Notamacropus eugenii: one gene and its partner. The protein of the gene in region 1 purifies or fractionates together with the protein of each later gene. This does not show direct contact. Links are inferred from orthologs where the notes say so. Each region holds a gene or a part of one and is shown on either strand. Other genes may lie near its edges.

Region 1 (9,092 bases):
TGACCTGGGGTTCTCTGTCAGGGAAGATACTGAAGAAACTGAGCTCCAGTTCTGAGAGGCACAGGGTACATGAACCATCCCCTCCCCCAAACCTCAAACAGAAAGTGGAAAAAGCCATGTGAGGCTATCGATGTGGACATGTCTTCTTTTAAGATGTGTTCAAGATAAGAAATTCTACCACAGTGGGAGAATCTCCTTGGGCAGAACACTGCCTGCCCACCCAGCCACCCACCGATTCAAGCCTTCTCTAGCATTTTGCATCTAAGGGTTCCAATGGCTACACCGTTATCCCTTCCACATTACAACATTCCCCATCATGGTTTCTATACATCACAGGTTGGCAAAAGAAATTAAATGATAACTTTTGGGGAGTTTTGCAGAAGCCACAGTCGACACACAATGGCCAGCAGATGACACAAAAAATACTTAACCCAAATTTTACAATAAGGTTCTGTAAACACCCCATAAAAAAAAAAGAAAAAATTCAGACTTCTCTGGTACAAAAGGAGGGCCAAAAAATTTTACACAGATTTTTCCAGATTGTGGGGATGACACACCCCTAACCCCTGCAATGTGGAAAGGATAACTGTAGTTAATCTTATGATGGAAATAATTTTCTTCCCTTCAGTTGGGAATCCTGAGCCACAAGGACTGCCTTTACAAGATTAGTCCTAAGAGCTGGTGACCACACTGTGCTTCCTCTGACCAGGGCTGAGCCCACTGCAAGTACCTAACCACTTCTCCAGTCTGTGGCTACATCTGCCTTCTTACCCAGTAGGAAGGGGAGGCTCACTAGCTCCCCAATCTGCCCACTCATTCTTGTCTTCTAGGGAAGGATCACCAGAGCAGAGTTCAAGATCCTGAGAAGTGGCTCTCAGGCTGGGCAAGAAGGCTGTAGCAGGATCCACCTTGCTTGCTTTGTCTACTTGCTCAAGGGAAACTCCAGGGTTTAAATGTTTCTATGGGGGGAATTAGATTGGAGAGACTTGGTCAACACAGGATTACCTGAAGCTTGTCCTAAGACTTCTCCAAATTCTAGAAACTCTTGTTCCTTCTCCAATTTCCTATGGCGAGTGCAGTCACCTCTCCGGCCCTCTCCAATGCAAATTTCCTCCCTCCTCAAGAAAATGACTTGGATTTCACCTCTGTCCCAAATACCTTCTGCCTAGCCTCCTCAGCCATGTGCTTTCGGGCTTGGCGCAAAATACGGGACTGACCAGACTTGGGGGCCAGGCAGTGTGCCTGTTCTTCCTTTAGAACCTGAAGCTCTGGGGGTAGTCTTCTGGTGAACGGGGTTCCCAGATCAGCAGCCACTGGTTCAGAAATCACTGCAGAGGGACAGTTGGAGAGAATGCCATGTTGGAATTCAAGGAGGGCAAAATGATAGCTAAAGCCCTAGCCTAAAAAGGTTTGAGGTACAACAAGGGAATAAAGGCTGTACAAAATCAAAGGATTCCCTTCCAACTCTTGAGATTCTGTGACCATTGTGTGATGGGATCCAGGAAATGGAGGTCAAACAAGGTCCTGCAGATGGAATAGAACTCACCAGTGACTCGGCCAGCAATGAATGGATGGTACAAGAGCTCAGGCCAAGCCAGCCGCTGATGAGGATCCTTGGTGAGCAGTCCCTGCAGGAAACTCTATGGGGAAAGTACTCCATCACTCTTCCCTTCTGCCTTCAGCATCCCTTTCCCCAAACCAAGGAGTATACCATCCTCCCCTCATAACTGGAAGGCTCCTCCCCTCCAATTCCTAGAATTTCTGGTTTCCTTTCAGGAGAAAGGCATTTTTCTTGGCCACCCTACCAGCTGCTTGTACCATCTCCTCTAAGGCTATTTCATATCTGACTTAGACTTGTTTGTGGTATACCTGTTTCCACCCCCATTATACATTCCCTGAGCACAGGAACAATCTCACTTCTGTCTCAGTATCCCCAGGTACACTGCACAAAATGATGGCTCAATACATGCTAGAATGATTATTTTCGGAGTAGCTGGGCTGGTCTTGGTCGCATCCCTGCCACTGGTTCTCAATGAGCATTGTTTCTGTTTTCAGAAGGTAGAACAGACCCCCTGGGTCTCAACACATGAATGTTGGGAGCCTCAGTTCCACTGGCCTCAGAAGAGAAGAGTACCTGTGTATGTACTCATTGTTCCCCTTGCTAGAACTTGAACTTCTGGCAGAGGGTGTTTCTCTTCTGTCTCTATTTCCACAGTACCTGACGTAGTCAGCACTTAATAGATTCTCAATGATCAGTCAATTGATTGAAAAAAAATGAGGGAAAGAAATTTCGACACTGCTGGCATCTCTGCCAGTAAAGCCCCTTGAAGGGCATCCCCTACAACTCATCTATTCCTATGTTCAATTAATCAGCATGTAATTCTGGAGCAGAGGAAATCAATTCATGGTAAAAGAAAAATGTTACAGGCTAAAGAGAGGGCCAAAATGGCCAAGGTTAGATGGCAGTACACTGATTCCCAAGTCACAGTAAAAGCTCAGCCCCAGGACAGAAGCAGAGAGACCATCTCTGAGACAGTCAGCACCTGCATTTCCCATCCATCTTCAACAATCAATGACAAATGATTTTTATTCAAATTCTGCCACAAACCCAGAAAAGGGCATTGGGAAAAAGGAAATAGATTTCCAGGAAAAGATCTTCTTTTCCTTGTCCTAACTTCCCCCTTCCCCACTCCATCGTATCCATATTCCCACCTTAAAGCATTGGCTTATTGTAGAAGGCCATCGCACTGGGTCCTTTAAGATTAGGCTAACAAGCTGGAAGATGCTGGTCGTGTAGAAAGGTGGTGTACCCACAGCCAGTTCATAAAGAATGCAGCCCACTGACCATAAGTCAGCAGTGTGGTCATATGGACGCTCTTCCACCAGCTCTGGGGACATGTACAATGGTGTGCCTTTGATGGATGTCAATACCATTGTATTTGTACTCATGGCACGGGCAAAACTGGGAGAGAGAGAGTGGGAGAAGGGGAAGGAAGAGGATTAACGGCATAAGGTGAGAAGTTGTACAAGAAAAGTCAAATCTGACTTCATACATACCCATCACAAACCAGACCAAGAAAAAGTCTTTAACCCTAACCCTTTCTCACTCCTATTCAGCCAAACTGTTCCTCCAACCTAACTAAAAAGAATCTCCCTTGATTTGGCTCCCTAGAGTCCAGAAGAATCCCTCCTCCCACCAACCCCAATACTGAAACAAGTTTCTCAAATCAAACCCTTAATCTAGTCTAGCCCATCAATCTACAGGGGACCCCATTTTCCTCCCCCAGAGGAGCAACAGGATGTCTGGGATTCCCACCCAAAGTCACAGAGCTTGATGCCACCACCCTTGGCTAGAAGAATATTCTGAGGCTTCATGTCACGATGCAGGATACGGTGGGAGTGCAGATAATATAGGGCTGATACCAACTGAGCTGCAATGGCCTGAACCTAAGGATCAACCAATCAGGAAGAAAGAGAGAAACAAGAAAAGGAAATAAGTGAATCTGAAGTTGTTCACTCTGAGCTATCCTACTGCTAATTCAAATGGTTCTGCTGATGGACTCCTTTACCAGCTTTCTCAAACCTCTATTTTCTGTTCCCCTTGAAGCTCCCTCACCCCCCAAGAGCCTAGCTCTGCTAAGGTCCCTTACTCCATGGGTTCCCAGTACAATATTTGCTAAGTCAGAACACAGAGAAACTCAAAAATTAGAACAGTTAATGATGAAAACTCAGGCAAATCATAGTCCTGCAACTTGGAAGTGATATGGGCAGGGTAGGTAGGAATCCCATCTGACTCTTCCCTCTCAGTCTTCTTAGGACACCATCAACTCCCACCAGACCAGTACCTCTCTAATGATACTTAGGATACTATAACTCCTTTCAGCCCCCAAAATGTTAGATTCCCAGTGCTCCGAACCCTGTCTACTAGTCCTGATCAGTGGGGAGACTGGGCAGAAGGCAAGTCAGGGATACCTGGTCCTCAGGCAGCTTCCCATCATCTTCTAAGATCTGAAAGAGCTCCCCTTCAGCATAGTCTGTTACTACCACTACCTGTGGGGAGAACATGAATACAGATTTAACTCAAGACATCAAGAGATAGGAACATTCTCCCCTATATACCAAACCCTGGGACCCCTATGATAGGATCTGGAGATGGGGAAAAGGACTAACCTTCACTTACCTCCTTGTCGGTTTCAAAGCTGTCGAGCATCTGTACAATGTTGGGATGCCTCAGACCCCGCATGATTTCAATTTCCCGCTGTAGGTTCCTCAGCTCTTTTTCTGAGCGCCCCAACTTTGGAATGAACTTCAGAGCCACCACCTTCCCAAGGCAAGAAGAGAAGAGTTCAGGGCCTTCCCTGAAAGAAGCTTCTTGCTTTGTGTGGCTCTTTCCTCAGCATCACCTTCAGCTCTCCAAAATCCAACTTTTATGCCAGTTTCTTGCCTTCCTTCTCTCCACAATCCCATGAGCTTGAGCCAAGCTTCCCTGAACCCACTCCTCAAACGGCAATATCTCCCTGAAAAAAGGCCTTCTAGTTGCTCTGTGCCCATCCTGGGGTCATAAAGATAAGACTGTTTGACATCTGTTCAAGTCTTAGAAAGAGTTATTTGGAGAATGGAGGAAAAGGAAGAAAAGAAGGAGAAAGAGAAGTGGGGCTGGCATCTCTTTCTAGCTCAACTAAAACTCTCAGGAAGATGAATTCTCCCATTTAGGACCAGTTCCCAACCAAAAGAGATGCTGAGAGATCCTCAGCTGATCCGGGCTAAATTTTGATCCCTTTAACAGTGTTCTTCCTTTCAGAGAACATCCCCTCTCTCCTAAGTACCTGGGCACTGTATTTTTTCCGACCCTTGTACACTCTTCCAAAGGAGCCCTCGCCAATCATTTCCAGCACGTGGTACTTCTCCATCATCAAGGCTCCAGATCTCTGGGTCTGAAGGAGGGAGAGCTGATTAAGCTTAGTAGCCCCTGGGGCAATTCCACAAACTTGGGAGTCCTGGGGGGCGGGAGGCAACACAGATTCGAATGAGAAGACATGGGGAGCGGTGCTATTTCCTCTCTTATTCCTGCCCCCCACCCTCCTCAGCCTCATTCTAACTAGCCAGCCCTGTCCCTGCCCCCCACCCTCCTCAGCTTGGCCCCAGATCTCAGCCCCAGACCCCAGCCTCAGGAGCCCTGACCCTTGACCTCCTACCGCCAGGGGTCTGTGTCAGGCCTCCCCCCACCCCCAACCTCTCCAGGCCTGAAACAAGATAAATGGGCTCCCTCCCTCACCAGCTGGTCCCCTTGACCCCGGGCCCCTGGGCCTCGCCAGCCCCCCCTAACTACCCCCCACCTTGGAGCTAGAGCTCCCCAGGCCGCGGGACCCGGGCCGGGCTCCGCCCCCGCCCCCCGGGCAGCCCCTCCAGGTTGCCAGACCGAGTTAGTTCGCAGCGCCGGCAGGAGGTCTCCCCGAAGGGCCCTTTCCCCTCCCTCTCCCTCCCTCAGAGGCGGGCCGAGGCCCCCGGGCCAGGGCGACGCGGAGGGAGGGCTTAGCGGCCCGCTCCATGGAGGCAATTCTGCAGGCAGCTCCGAACCGTCGCCCCGCCGCCTCAGGCCCCGCTGAGGACCCCGGCGTCCACGGTCGCCTAGCAACGGCGGCTGGTGGCCGGGCCCTCGGCCTCTCCGCCTCCAGGCCTGGGGGAAGGCACTTCCGGTTCCGGCGCAGGCAGCGGGAGGAGATGGCGGCGGCCGCGGCGGCAGCTGGGGAGGAGGACTGGTAACTGCCGGGGACGCGGGACCTGGCTGACGGCCGCTCCCGGCCTGGGGCGGGGCGGGTCCACGGCCGCCCCCCGGAGGCCCGGGGGTAGATTTGAGGGGGACGGAACTCGAAGGCGGGGCACCCCGGGGGTCGGGCCGCCGAGCCGGCCCACGCCCCCAGCCTCGTCCGCCCGGGTGTCCGCCTCCTGATGGCCCCGAGCCCCACGGGAGCGGGCCAGGCCCCCCGCGACCCCAGCCGAGCGCCGGCTCCTCCGCCCCCACGACCTCCTGCAGCGGCGGGACCCAGGGCCGGGCCGTGGCGAGGGCGGCTCCGGGGCCGTCCGGGAGAGCCAAAGCTCGGGGGGCCCAGCCGGGGCGAGGACTAGTGGCGTCCCCGCCGTCCCCCACCCCCACCCTTCCGCCGTGCCCCGCGTTGGTAGGCATCGATGTGGGGGATGCAGGCGCCCCCAAGCGTCCCGGGCTTCTAGCATGGGCGGAGTGCTGGGCACAGCCGAGCTAGTCGCCGGGATCGGGCATCCTGCTGCTGTCACCAAACACCCTGTTATTAAAGAGGCGTGGGCCTGACCCCCGGGCGGCCGCAGGTGGGGCCGTGCGGGCACGTCGAAGGCGTTTTGCTGACCAGCCATCCCTTTCTCTCCTCTTGTTTTAGAGCCAGGAATTTGGGGGAGAGAGAGGAAGAAATACTTTCCCCAAAGCCTGTGACTGCTTCAGTTTTGAACACCCATAGGAACAGGCCTGGACTTAAGAGCCCGTGAAGGGTCTCGGATACCTGATAATTCTATTGGGGACTACGGTGCCACATACCAGCATTCCTGTTTCTGGTTTAGAGCAGTGGTGAGGTGGTAGGATCACAGATTTAGCACTAGAAGCCTTGTGAATACAACTCCCTCGCATAAAAAATAAGTTTACTTGCCCAAGACTGTGAATAACACAGCTTAGATTTGAACCTGTTACCTCTCAACTCGAATAGACACCAAAAGGCCAACTGGTTTGTGTACCTGAAGGCCTGGATTCTCATGCTAGCTTTGCCTCTTATCAATTATGTGACCTTAGACAAGTCACAGTTTTTCTTTCTAGTCTATAAGATGAAAGAGTTGGATTTTGAGGCTCCTTCATGCTCTACAATTCTGTTTTTATTACTATTACTCACTTTTGTTTCCTCCCATCTTAAAGTAGGTATGGAAAAGGAGTGACCTGGGACCTAAGAGATGTCCTTGAACTGCTGTGCTTCTCAAAACAGCAAGGTCTCTCCTCTTGGGCCCTGATTGGGCCCCTGTTTGGGAAAAGGAGGGTCTCTTAATGTTTCTCCATTTTGAGGAAGCTTACAGAAAGATAGCAACAAATATGAATTTTCTATATGGTTATAAAAATCCCCAAGCCTGTGATAGCTATGAAAAATGATCCCCAACTTGTGGAAAAGGAAGATTGAAAACGGCATAGAACCTTAAACTGCCAACCCTCCTCTTCAGTACCCTCTAGGACAAGCATCCTTCCTCATGGGACTACAGTAAGGAAGGATATGGTACATCAGCCATCTCTTTCCCCAGGGTTCTACCCTCTGAAGTGGAGGTATTGGAGTCTATCTACCTGGATGAATTACAGGTGGTTCAAGGAAATGGAAGGTGAGTACCCAGCTGGGACTGAGAAGGGCTTCTGAGAGCAATAAGGGAATGATATTTACTCAGACCATCATCTAGTCCTAAGAGAATGTGAGAAGTGGAGGAAACTGTTTCTCAAAGAAACAAGAGTGATACCTTTAACTTACCATAGGACAGATTCCCTTCTCATTTCTCTAGGGAGGGAATTCTCAACTCATCCCACCCCTCACCCCCCAGTTCCCACTCAGTCACATCTTGGATCATCATACTGACCACCCACAGGTCTTCACCATGGGAAATCTGCATCACTCTGCACCCTGCCACAGCTGAAGACCAGGATTCACAGTTTGTCTGCTTTACCTTGGTGTTGCTGGTCCCTGCACAGGTGAGGTGCCTACTGGGTGACCACAAATCGGGGAGAAATGCTGGGGTATGGAAAGAGGGCACTACATACTGATCTGGTCTCTTTTTTCCAGTATCCCAATGAGGTGCCTAAGATCTCTATCCGTAACCCACGAGGGCTGTCAGATGAACAGATTCTCAAGTAAGTGTTGCTTAGACTAACATAAGATAGAACTAGGGCACGTCTCACACAGGTTAAGGGTACCAACATAGAATATTTCTTTTTCAAGAAGTGGAAAGGAATTTTCCTAACATTGAGGTTGGGTTTTCTTTTCTAGGATCTCACAGGCACTGAGTTGTGTGGCTGAGGCTGGATTAGGCACTGCTGTGCTCTATGAACTCATTGAGGTGAGCTGGGCCCTAGGGAGACCTCCCTTCTTTCATGCCAAAACAAGTTTTAGCCATGGGTCCAGAATAGGAGTGGGGAACCTGTGACCTCTAAGCCACATGTGGCCCTTTGAATCCAAACTTCACAGAACAAGTCCTCTTAATTAAAGGATTTGTTCTGTAAAATTCAGTCCAGAGACCACACCCAGGGACCTAGGAGGCCACATGTGGTCTCAAGGCTGAAGGTTCTCTGTTCTAGAACCATTCTCCCAAAGTAGTTTAGCCCTTTCCCTCCCTTTGGGTAAAACTGGTCCAAGTTGATGAAAGTCATGTTTTAAAAGCCCTCTAAAGGTGGAGATTCTACAAGCTTCTTCATTTGTTTACTTCAGTATCTTATCTAAAAGTCTAAAGGAATATTTTTTGTCTACCAAAGTACTTCATGCATTCCCTATTTTTTTCTCAGTGGTAAGAGAAAAGTAGCTTTACAAGTGAATCATCTTTACGTCTGATACTTTCAGTTTAAGATAGTGTGTGCACTGGTGCTGCTAGCGATAGAAAGGAAACAGAAGACAGTCCCTATACTCAAAACTTACAGACCATCCACAAAGCAACACCTCACGTTTACATTAGCATTTTAATATTTAAGAGAGGGGGGAAGACAGAGGAGGGAAGCAAAGACAGAGATCGTAAGAGAGATTTCCTCTTCTCTAGACCACACTGCCTCGTACCATATCTTAGCAACATGATCAAGGGCAAATTAAAAATATCACAGCTCTTACTTAAAGACTTTACTTATTATGATTATCCTTTGGTTTTTTAATATCTCATTTCTAGCTGTTTTTCATAGGTAGAAAACCAAAAACCTCTTAAGAATCCCAATCCAGTCACATTAAGTTCCTTGGAGAAGGCCAACCTTGCATCAATCTGTGAGGTTGGATTGTAGGGAGTATTTGGGAGGATGAGGAAATTAGGCTTCCACTTCCCTCCTGAGTCAAGACCTTATA
Region 2 (8,294 bases), on another chromosome or scaffold:
GTGTGCGTGTATATCTCTGTATGATAAGCAGACCTGCTTGTCTAGGATATGGCAATAACTATTGCTGGCTGTGTTTTTAGCAATGTGATACAAGACTATTTGGTACCACTTACGACAGAAACTAACTGTGTGTGGCTTGTCATAAACAGGGAAATCCTCAGCTGAATAAAATTCTTCCTGAGATTTTTTTTGCTGAAGCTACTTCAGCTGCACCAACTATGCCACAAGTTTAGTTTCTAATTCAGTATAACAGAAATAACAACAATAACATTTCCATAGTTCCCTAAGGTATTGCAAAGCATTTGTCATACCCAGTGCAACCTTCTCATTTTACAAATGAGGAGACTGAGACCTGGGGAGGGTTAGTGGCTTTTTTTGGGGGACAAAGTTTTGAACCTAGGTCCCCTGACTCCAAATTTTGCTCACTTTCTACTACCCTCCAGGTCCTCCCTTTTATATTTGTTTCAGCAAGCTGTCTTCATTTGTTATCTTCTCAATAAATATTCACACACAGAATTTGGAACTCAAAATTAAAAAAACAAACAAATAAGAAATGTTAAAAATTGCTTTTACATGTAACTGGGAAAAAATAAAATGTTAAATATATTTTTAAAAGAAAAAATGAATATTCACATATAAATGTCTGCAGAGTATATCTAAAGGGTCATGATATGACAGCAGCCCACAATTTGAAATCAACATTTAGATTATAGAAATAACTAGCATTTATGTAACACTAAGGTTTGCAAATCACCGTCCCATATGCTATCTGGTTTGACAGAAACTTTCACACATTGATCTAGACAAAGACGAAAAAAACAAAAAGAAATTACTATCACAAGGCAGAAACTTAAACATACTTTAAACATTTTTCAGACAAATGCAGACATTTTTGTAATATGCTTTCTTGAAGATGAAAAAAATGTGCTTCAGGACCGTATTTATGGAAGGTACATTATCTTGTCAAAATCTCAAACGGCCAAAGGGTGTGAACTCCTCTGACCACTGCCAAGTTTAGATGTAAACAAATACTTAATACATTGCATCTCCTTTCCAAATAGAATAAAATGAATTGTTTCTGACTATGTTTTTGGAATTTTCGATTAGAAAAAAATTATGGGCAAAGCTGATTGCCTTTCCCCAGTGCAACTAATTTCCAAAAAGAGAAAGTACTTTTTAGAACAGTCTTAATTTAATTTAAATGTAGAAAAGGGGTGTTTTGTTGAATCTCCAAAATAAAAATCAACCACATTCCTGAATTTGAAAACCTCAGACTCCTGAAATCATCTTCTTGGGAATTAGGGTTTTAAAAAATAATTCACATTTTTACCAAGGCAAATTCCTAGGTATTAGCCAGTTTTTTAACCTAGAAAGATAAACAAACCCCAAGGCTATGAATGCAGAGCTCCCTTACAATAGCAGTCTGAAACTGGTTACAATTTTCAAAAGGTTATTTTGATTTTATAGCCATCCCACCTTCATTTACCTTCAGAAACAAAATATGATGTAGTATTTCCTAAACAACTCAGAATCATGGTATTTTATATGAAAGTTTGTATATTGACCTTTCCTGAACATATTTACTTTAAGAAACTCACAAACTGTTCAAGTTTACAAAACATTCTGTATTCAACTACAGTCCTGAAATTAGCAAAATATTTCTAATGCAGCCCACATGTTCACTGAATCTCAAGTGCAATGATTCTGGTATAAATATTACTTCTAACTGGAAAAAAAAATCACTTTCACTCCATGAGGCCAGGTTACCATCCAAGAGATAAATGTTCTGACAGTAGCCCACAGTGTGTAATTATAATAACAAGTCATGCCAGCTTTTTTTTTTAACAGGAAAATGCCTAGTTTGTCATTTAATGTCTAGCTGTTTTCTGTTCGTGTTTTTTCCCTTCTGCCCTTTTCAAAACAAAGGGTTAGTCCATTTCTCCATTTCTACTATGTACAAAAGCTATCACAATCCAAATTGAAGCAAAACTGCATTTAATTCCATTCAAATGAAACAGTTACCAAGCACCTTCAAAGAGCCAAGGTCTAGGGATAGAAGACCGAAAGAGGACAGACAGTTCCTTACCCTGGAAGGGCTTACATTCTACCTGCACAAAGAGAAGTAATACAATGTGATTTGAGGAAGGAGAAACACTAAAAGCCATAGGGAAAGTGAGGTACTTGATCTTGCATTTCTTTAGGAAACATAAGAAATTCTATCTATACCAGATAAATGGGAAAAGATAGGATGAGCATAGGAATAAGTGGGGAAATCTACAATTTTATGAAAACTTTCATACATGATGTCCACACATACACACAAAACTGCTAAGAACCAGAAAGTTTCAATACTGTCTAGGTCAAGAAGTATCTTATTATCTCGAAGGTCTTGGGTGAATTACTAGACATTTAGAAATATCCCACTAAAAAAGAAACTAGGCATGCATACGTACTCCCAAAGAAAGCTTAACCTTTGTACATGATGGGAAATAATTTGAGGTTCAGTCTTAGTACTTCTCTTTACACTTTTAAGTAAACATATGATGAGGCACCTTGTTAAAAACAAAAAAACAGCTACACAGAAAGATGAATCCTGGAAACATGCAAATAGGTCCAGCAGAGAGAGTGCCTGGGATCACGTCTCTCTCTCTCCCCTTTCTCTGTGTCTCTTCTATTTGTCTCTCTCTCCCTCTCTCTCTCTCTCTCTCTCTCTCTCTCTCTCTCCCCCTCTCCCTCCCCCCCCTCCCCCCCGCTTGGTCCCGCAAAGAAGCAGTACTCCATCTTCCTTAGCAAAGGTAAGAGGCAAAATGATCACAACAGTTGTGGGGAGGGAGAACCCCCCCACCAAACAAACCCAGGGAATTCCGGTTTCCAAGCAGGCTGTAGAGGAACAAAAATGTGCCGTGTGCCCCTGCTCCAAAGTGTGCCAGGCACCAGGCTGCACAAAAGACCAATCCACCCCCCCGGTCCACACCGACACACACGTACACCAAGCGCCAGGTCTTTTCCTGCCTGGCCAACGGGTGTGTGTTGGGGGGTGGGGGGAAAGGGAGGAGATGGAAGGGAACCAGAGAAGTCACATGTCACGGAGAAGATACAATGTGCAATCATCTGGCAATTAGAGAGAATCTCCCAAGATTAAACTGGACACTTTTCAACCTGACATTTCTGCTGTACTTTCCAAAGACTTAGTTGCCAGAGCCTGGGGGAGGGGAGGGGGGAGGGGGGAGGGGGCAGGGAGGCTGGAGAAGGATGGGTAGAGGAGGACGAGGGCTGGGCAGACGAGGGGGAGGGGAAGGGGTCGGAGGGGGATGGGGGAAAGAAGGGGGGCGGCGGAGGACAAGGGCAGAGGGAGGAGGAAGAAAGTAGGAGAAGATGGAAAAGAGGGGGGGGGAAATGGGGCAGGAGCCGGGAGTGAGGGGGTGGCAGGGGGCGGGCGGGGGAGGGGCGGGGGACCGCGGCCGCCCCCGGCCGGTTACCTGGGCTGGGGAGAGGGGGCGCAGGTCGCCGTCTCGTGCCGCTCCCGGAGGAGAAGGAGGAGGAGGAGGAGGGGGAGGCAGGGGCGTCCGCCGGCCGCGGACTCAGGGACCCCCGGAGCCCCCCGGGGCCCGGCCGCTCTCCTCCCTCGCTCGCTCTAGCCCCGCTCTGGCTCCCGCCGCTCCCGCGTCCTTCCCCTCGGGCTCGGGCTTCGGCTGCTGCCGCCCCGGACTCTGGGAAAAGTGAATCCACCAGCACCTCGCGGACCGCGCCGCCTCCGCCCGCGCCCGCGCCCCCCGCGCCCGCGCCCGCGCCGCCGACGGCTCCGGCTCCCAGCCGTGCGCGCGCCCCACGTCCCCGGAGCGGCTCCCTCCCCGCCCCTCCCTCCCGGAGCCGGGCGCGCGCCCGAGCCAGGGGGCGGGGGCAGCCCCGGGAGGCGCGCGCCCGCCCGCGGGCACGAGGCTCCTCCCTCCCGGCGAGGGGCGGGGGCAGCATGGGGTCGGGGTGGGGGTGGGGGGGAAGAGAAAGCAAGAAAAAGTAAAGTGACAGCTGAGCCCCGCGCGCCGAGGGGGGAGGGGAGGCCGGCTGGGAGGAGCTCGGAGGGGGAGGGGTGGCCGGGGTGGGGGAGGGGAGAGGGGGCGAGGGGACCTTGGCAGGGACGTGGCGGGCGCGCGCGTTAAAGGGAAACACTGACAAGGAGGGGGAGGGGAAAAGAGTCAGAAAAAGGTGGGGGGCGGGGGGATGGGGTGGAGTGGAGAGCTTCTCCCGAGGAGTGGGCAGGACGGAGGTGGGGAGGAGAATGTGGGCCCAGAAAGTCACCCAGGAGCAAGAGAGAACCCCCCCATCTGTCTGTCTGTCCTTCCTCTCCTCTCCCCTCTCTATCACACACACACACACACACACACACACACACACACAGACACGCACACACACACAGACATACACACCCATAGACACACACAGACGTACACACATACACACCCATAGACACACACACACACACACACACACACACACACACACACACACACACACACACACACACACACACACACACACACACACACACACACACACACACACACCCCTTCCCATGCACATCGGGAATTCAAAAAAGTTTAGCCAGGCTGCTGACCTCTGAAACCCACAGGACTGGGGATAGGGGAGGGCATCGGGGCCTCCGGGCTGCGGGACCTCTCTCTGCCCCGGACCGCGCCGCCTCCCCACCCACGACCGAAGCCACCTGGGGGCCCTCCCGCCGGGGAGGATGGGGTCCGGGACTCCACCTTGAATGGGGTGTGCGGGAGTCAGGCCTCTCCAAATCCAGGACCCAGGCAGCTGCCGAGGCTGGGCAGCCGTGGGATCCGGACCAGCTCCGGGAAAGCTGCAGACCTAGTGTAATTATGCCAGACGAAGCCCTCCTGGTGACAAGGGCCAGAGTCCTGGGCGACACAGAGGCCGCAGGCTACAACTAGAGAAATCAGGGTAGGAAAATCCCGGGGGAAAACCACCCAAAGCCTAATTCCACATTCCCCGGATAAGAAAACCCTTTCCCCCAGTGACTCCTTCAAACAGGGCCAATCTCTCAAACCCCCTAAGCCACTGGTAGAATCAGGTGCTGAAAACTGACTTGACCAATAGAAAGAACCTAGACCTGTACATCGCTACAGGGCAAACTGGATGCCAGCTTTGTTTATCACTTAGAGCATTGGAGACATAAACCATTAAGAAAAAAGAATATTCTGGGATTAGAAATGGCATATCCTGGGATTATTAAACAGAAGATTCAGACTGCAAAAGCAGTGACATCAGTGTGAAAAGACAGATGTGGTTCTATAGGGAAATGAAAGAAGGAAAGGGAGGTGATACGCTCACATACATATGTATACATATACATGCATGCATAGAAATGCACAGAGATTGAAATCTCTAGTAAAAGTGCATTATCTAAACTTTTCCTGATCCTGAATATGTCATAATCTAAACAAATACAGCATTGAACAAAATTCATTAAATAATGGAATTTATTCTCCTGATTTATCTACAAGGTAGGAAGATGCATTATCTTTCTTCATAGAGCAGCAGTCACAGAAAGATTAAAGGTCTCAATATTTATTCAACTAGCTGGTGACAGGGGATGATAGAATCCCTGTCTCCCGGCTACATTAAAGCTGGGCTTCTCCTCCATCTAATAAGCTACTCTTATCTCCAACCAGTGATACTTTGTTGTCAATAGTATCATTTTTTACAATGAATGATGGATAACAAAATATCTCGCTATCAGAGAAAGTATCAAAATTGTTTTATTTTAACAAAGTCCTAGGATTGTTCATTCATCGCTATCAGCAGACCAACTGTAGAACTTTATCATGTCCCGTCCTTGTGAAAATAATGGATAATGTTTTATCCTTTCAAAAGCTAAAACTTTTGCTTCTATGTTATTTCATGAGGAGAGACTTGTGTGGCTATGTGGCTAGACCTTTGTGGCTCTACTCCCCAAGTCCAGTTCAGGAAAACATCACAAATTCAACTCCTTTTCTACCTCAGAGAACAGCCCTATAAACATTGCCATGGTGTGATAACTACAGTTCTTACAGAAATCTCCCAGAGTATTCTCTCACGGGAAAAACCAAATGATCTCCAAATAAATATCATCTCTTCTGTGTATTTCAGACTTAGGCCCATCAATCCTTCATGTCCATATTCATTTTGTCTCCTAATAATAACACTAAGAGCTCGTATTTTTATAGTGCTTTAAGATTTGCAAAAGCATTTTATAAATACAAATTCATTTCATCCTCACAACAACCCCTGAGAGGTAGCTGCTATTACTAACTCCCTTTTACAGTGGAGGAAACTGAGGCAGATGCGAAGTGACTTGTCCAGGGTCACATAGCTAGTGAGTGTGTTGGGCAGGATTTGAATTCAGCTCTTCCTAAGTATAGGGCAGCTAGGAGATAAAGTAGATAAAGTTCTGGACCTGCATGTAAAAGCAAGGACCCCAACATACACAGGAGGGCCTGCTACTTAGGTTCTTACATCTGCTTTTCTAAAAGGAAAGCAACTTTTGAGGGGTTAACAATCTCCTTTAATTGAGCACATATCATTCACCAATAGAGATAAATACCGCAAGAGAAATAAAGACTAGCAGACAGGCTTCCAACTCTCTAACCATAAGCAATACATATTTCACAGATTAACAGAAGGTCCAGCTGTCTGACCATAGCTACCAGAAAGGGAAGCACCAACTTCTGGGTTTTCAAAGCCCAGGGACTCAGTGGCTACCCAGAGTCTCATCTGGCCAAATAACCTTCTTCCAATGTGTGAGTCCTCACCTCAGTGTATTTATATGCTTTTCAGAGCCAGAGGGCATGACTCTCTGACCAGTGCCTCAACAGAAAAAAAAAAAGGTACTTCTACAAAACAACTCCCCTAATCAAGCTTCCCTTAATGGGCAGGCCCCTTAATGGGTGGAGAAGATCTTCTTTAATCATATCAAAATAATTAACAATACAAATACATATACTGTTTCTAGTTAAAGAAACTCTTGTTTCTGTACTTTACCCCCAGTAAAGACTCTTGGTCGATAAAGGCAAGATTCAAACGTAGGCACTTGATTATACTAAAACAAAAACAGCAAAAGATCCTACTTTGGTTGCCATTACACTGGAGTCAGGAAGACTTGTCTTCCTGAGTTCAAAACTGGCCTCAGACATTTACTATTTGGATAACCCTGGTCAAGTCACTTACCCCTGTTTGCCTCAGTTTCTTCATCTGTAAAATGAGCTGGAGAAGGAAATGGCAAACCACTCTAGGACTTCTACCAAGAAAACCCCAAATGGGGTCAAAGTACAAGCTCAGTACTCTAACTATTATCTCTCCCTTGTGTCAGAGGCAGGAATCAATCCCATATGTTCTGACACAGTACAGGATTTAGGGGAGACAATCTAAGTTTGAATCTCCATTCTGCCATTTTCTACCTGAGTGAATCTGAGAATCCTCTGACACCCATGTCAGTAAAATAAAAGGGTTGGACAAAATTACCTCTAAGATCCCTTCCAGTTCTAAATCTTTAACCCTATGATTCCAATACCTCCTGAATAAAGCGTTCAAGGCCTCGTTGGCTTGAGTTTACCCTTTAGTCTTATTTCATACCTATTTGCAGAGTTCCAGACAAAATCCATCTCTGTTTCTTGTCCTGTCATCTCCCATATCTTTCCTCATATTATTCCTCGGGTCTGGAATGGATCCTCACCAACATTCCTACCTCCATCTAATGCAGTCCTTCCCTCTCTGCCAAGGCCTAATTCGGGTGCCAACTTCTCCACTACCTCTTGATAACTCAAGATTAGCAGCCTGACAATCCATAGTGTAATTTTGAAAAGAATGGTGTTGATTGAAATTTAGTGATCATTGTGTTAGGGAGGATTAAAAACTCTGAATGGGGAGACATGCACCTGGATTTTACTCCTCATTCTGCTGTTCACTGTGTGACTTTGGGGAAGTCATTTCCCATCACTAATCTCAGTTTCCCACCCTAAAAAAGGTGGGGCTTGGAATAGAGGATTCCTAAGGTCCATTGCAGCTCACAATCTTTGATTTATGGAATACACTCTACAAACCATTTTTTTTTCAATTCATGGGCTAGAAAATTAAGTTCACCCTACTGATTGTATAAATACACTTAAAATGCTTTAATAATGTAAATCACATACGTCATTATTTTGGCTTATTTTCATAACAAGTCACTTTTACAAAGCATGCTAAGATCTACAGAGTCCTTTCTTCACAACAGTCTTTTAAGGTACATAATGCAA

Evidence for each region.
Region 2: the proteins of RNF25 (region 1) and UBE2E2 purify together in Homo sapiens (affinity purification with mass spectrometry; 3 studies listed by BioGRID and IntAct, counting the BioPlex papers as one, with this or other methods). This does not show direct contact. The link is inferred for Notamacropus eugenii from reciprocal best matches to the Homo sapiens genes RNF25 and UBE2E2.

The regions. Positions count from the first base shown.
Region 1 is NC_092877.1:317,171,456-317,180,547, reverse strand, and holds the start of RNF25 (E3 ubiquitin-protein ligase RNF25), read left to right. Parts: upstream 1-5,547; coding exon 5,548-5,759; intron 5,760-7,308; coding exon 7,309-7,383; intron 7,384-7,641; coding exon 7,642-7,744; intron 7,745-7,835; coding exon 7,836-7,903; intron 7,904-8,039; coding exon 8,040-8,109; intron 8,110-9,092. Other genes in the region: STK36 (serine/threonine-protein kinase 36), read right to left, coding at 1-14, 772-959, 1,159-1,328, 1,547-1,640, 2,713-2,962, 3,317-3,447, 3,973-4,050, 4,181-4,321 and 1 more. UniProt on the Homo sapiens protein: E3 ubiquitin-protein ligase that plays a key role in the RNF14-RNF25 translation quality control pathway, a pathway that takes place when a ribosome has stalled during translation, and which promotes ubiquitination and degradation of translation factors on stalled ribosomes.
Region 2 is NC_092874.1:31,287,214-31,295,507, forward strand, and holds the start of UBE2E2 (ubiquitin-conjugating enzyme E2 E2), read right to left. Parts: upstream 3,777-8,294; 5' UTR 3,480-3,776; intron 3,006-3,479; exon of another isoform or gene 2,855-3,005; intron 1-2,854.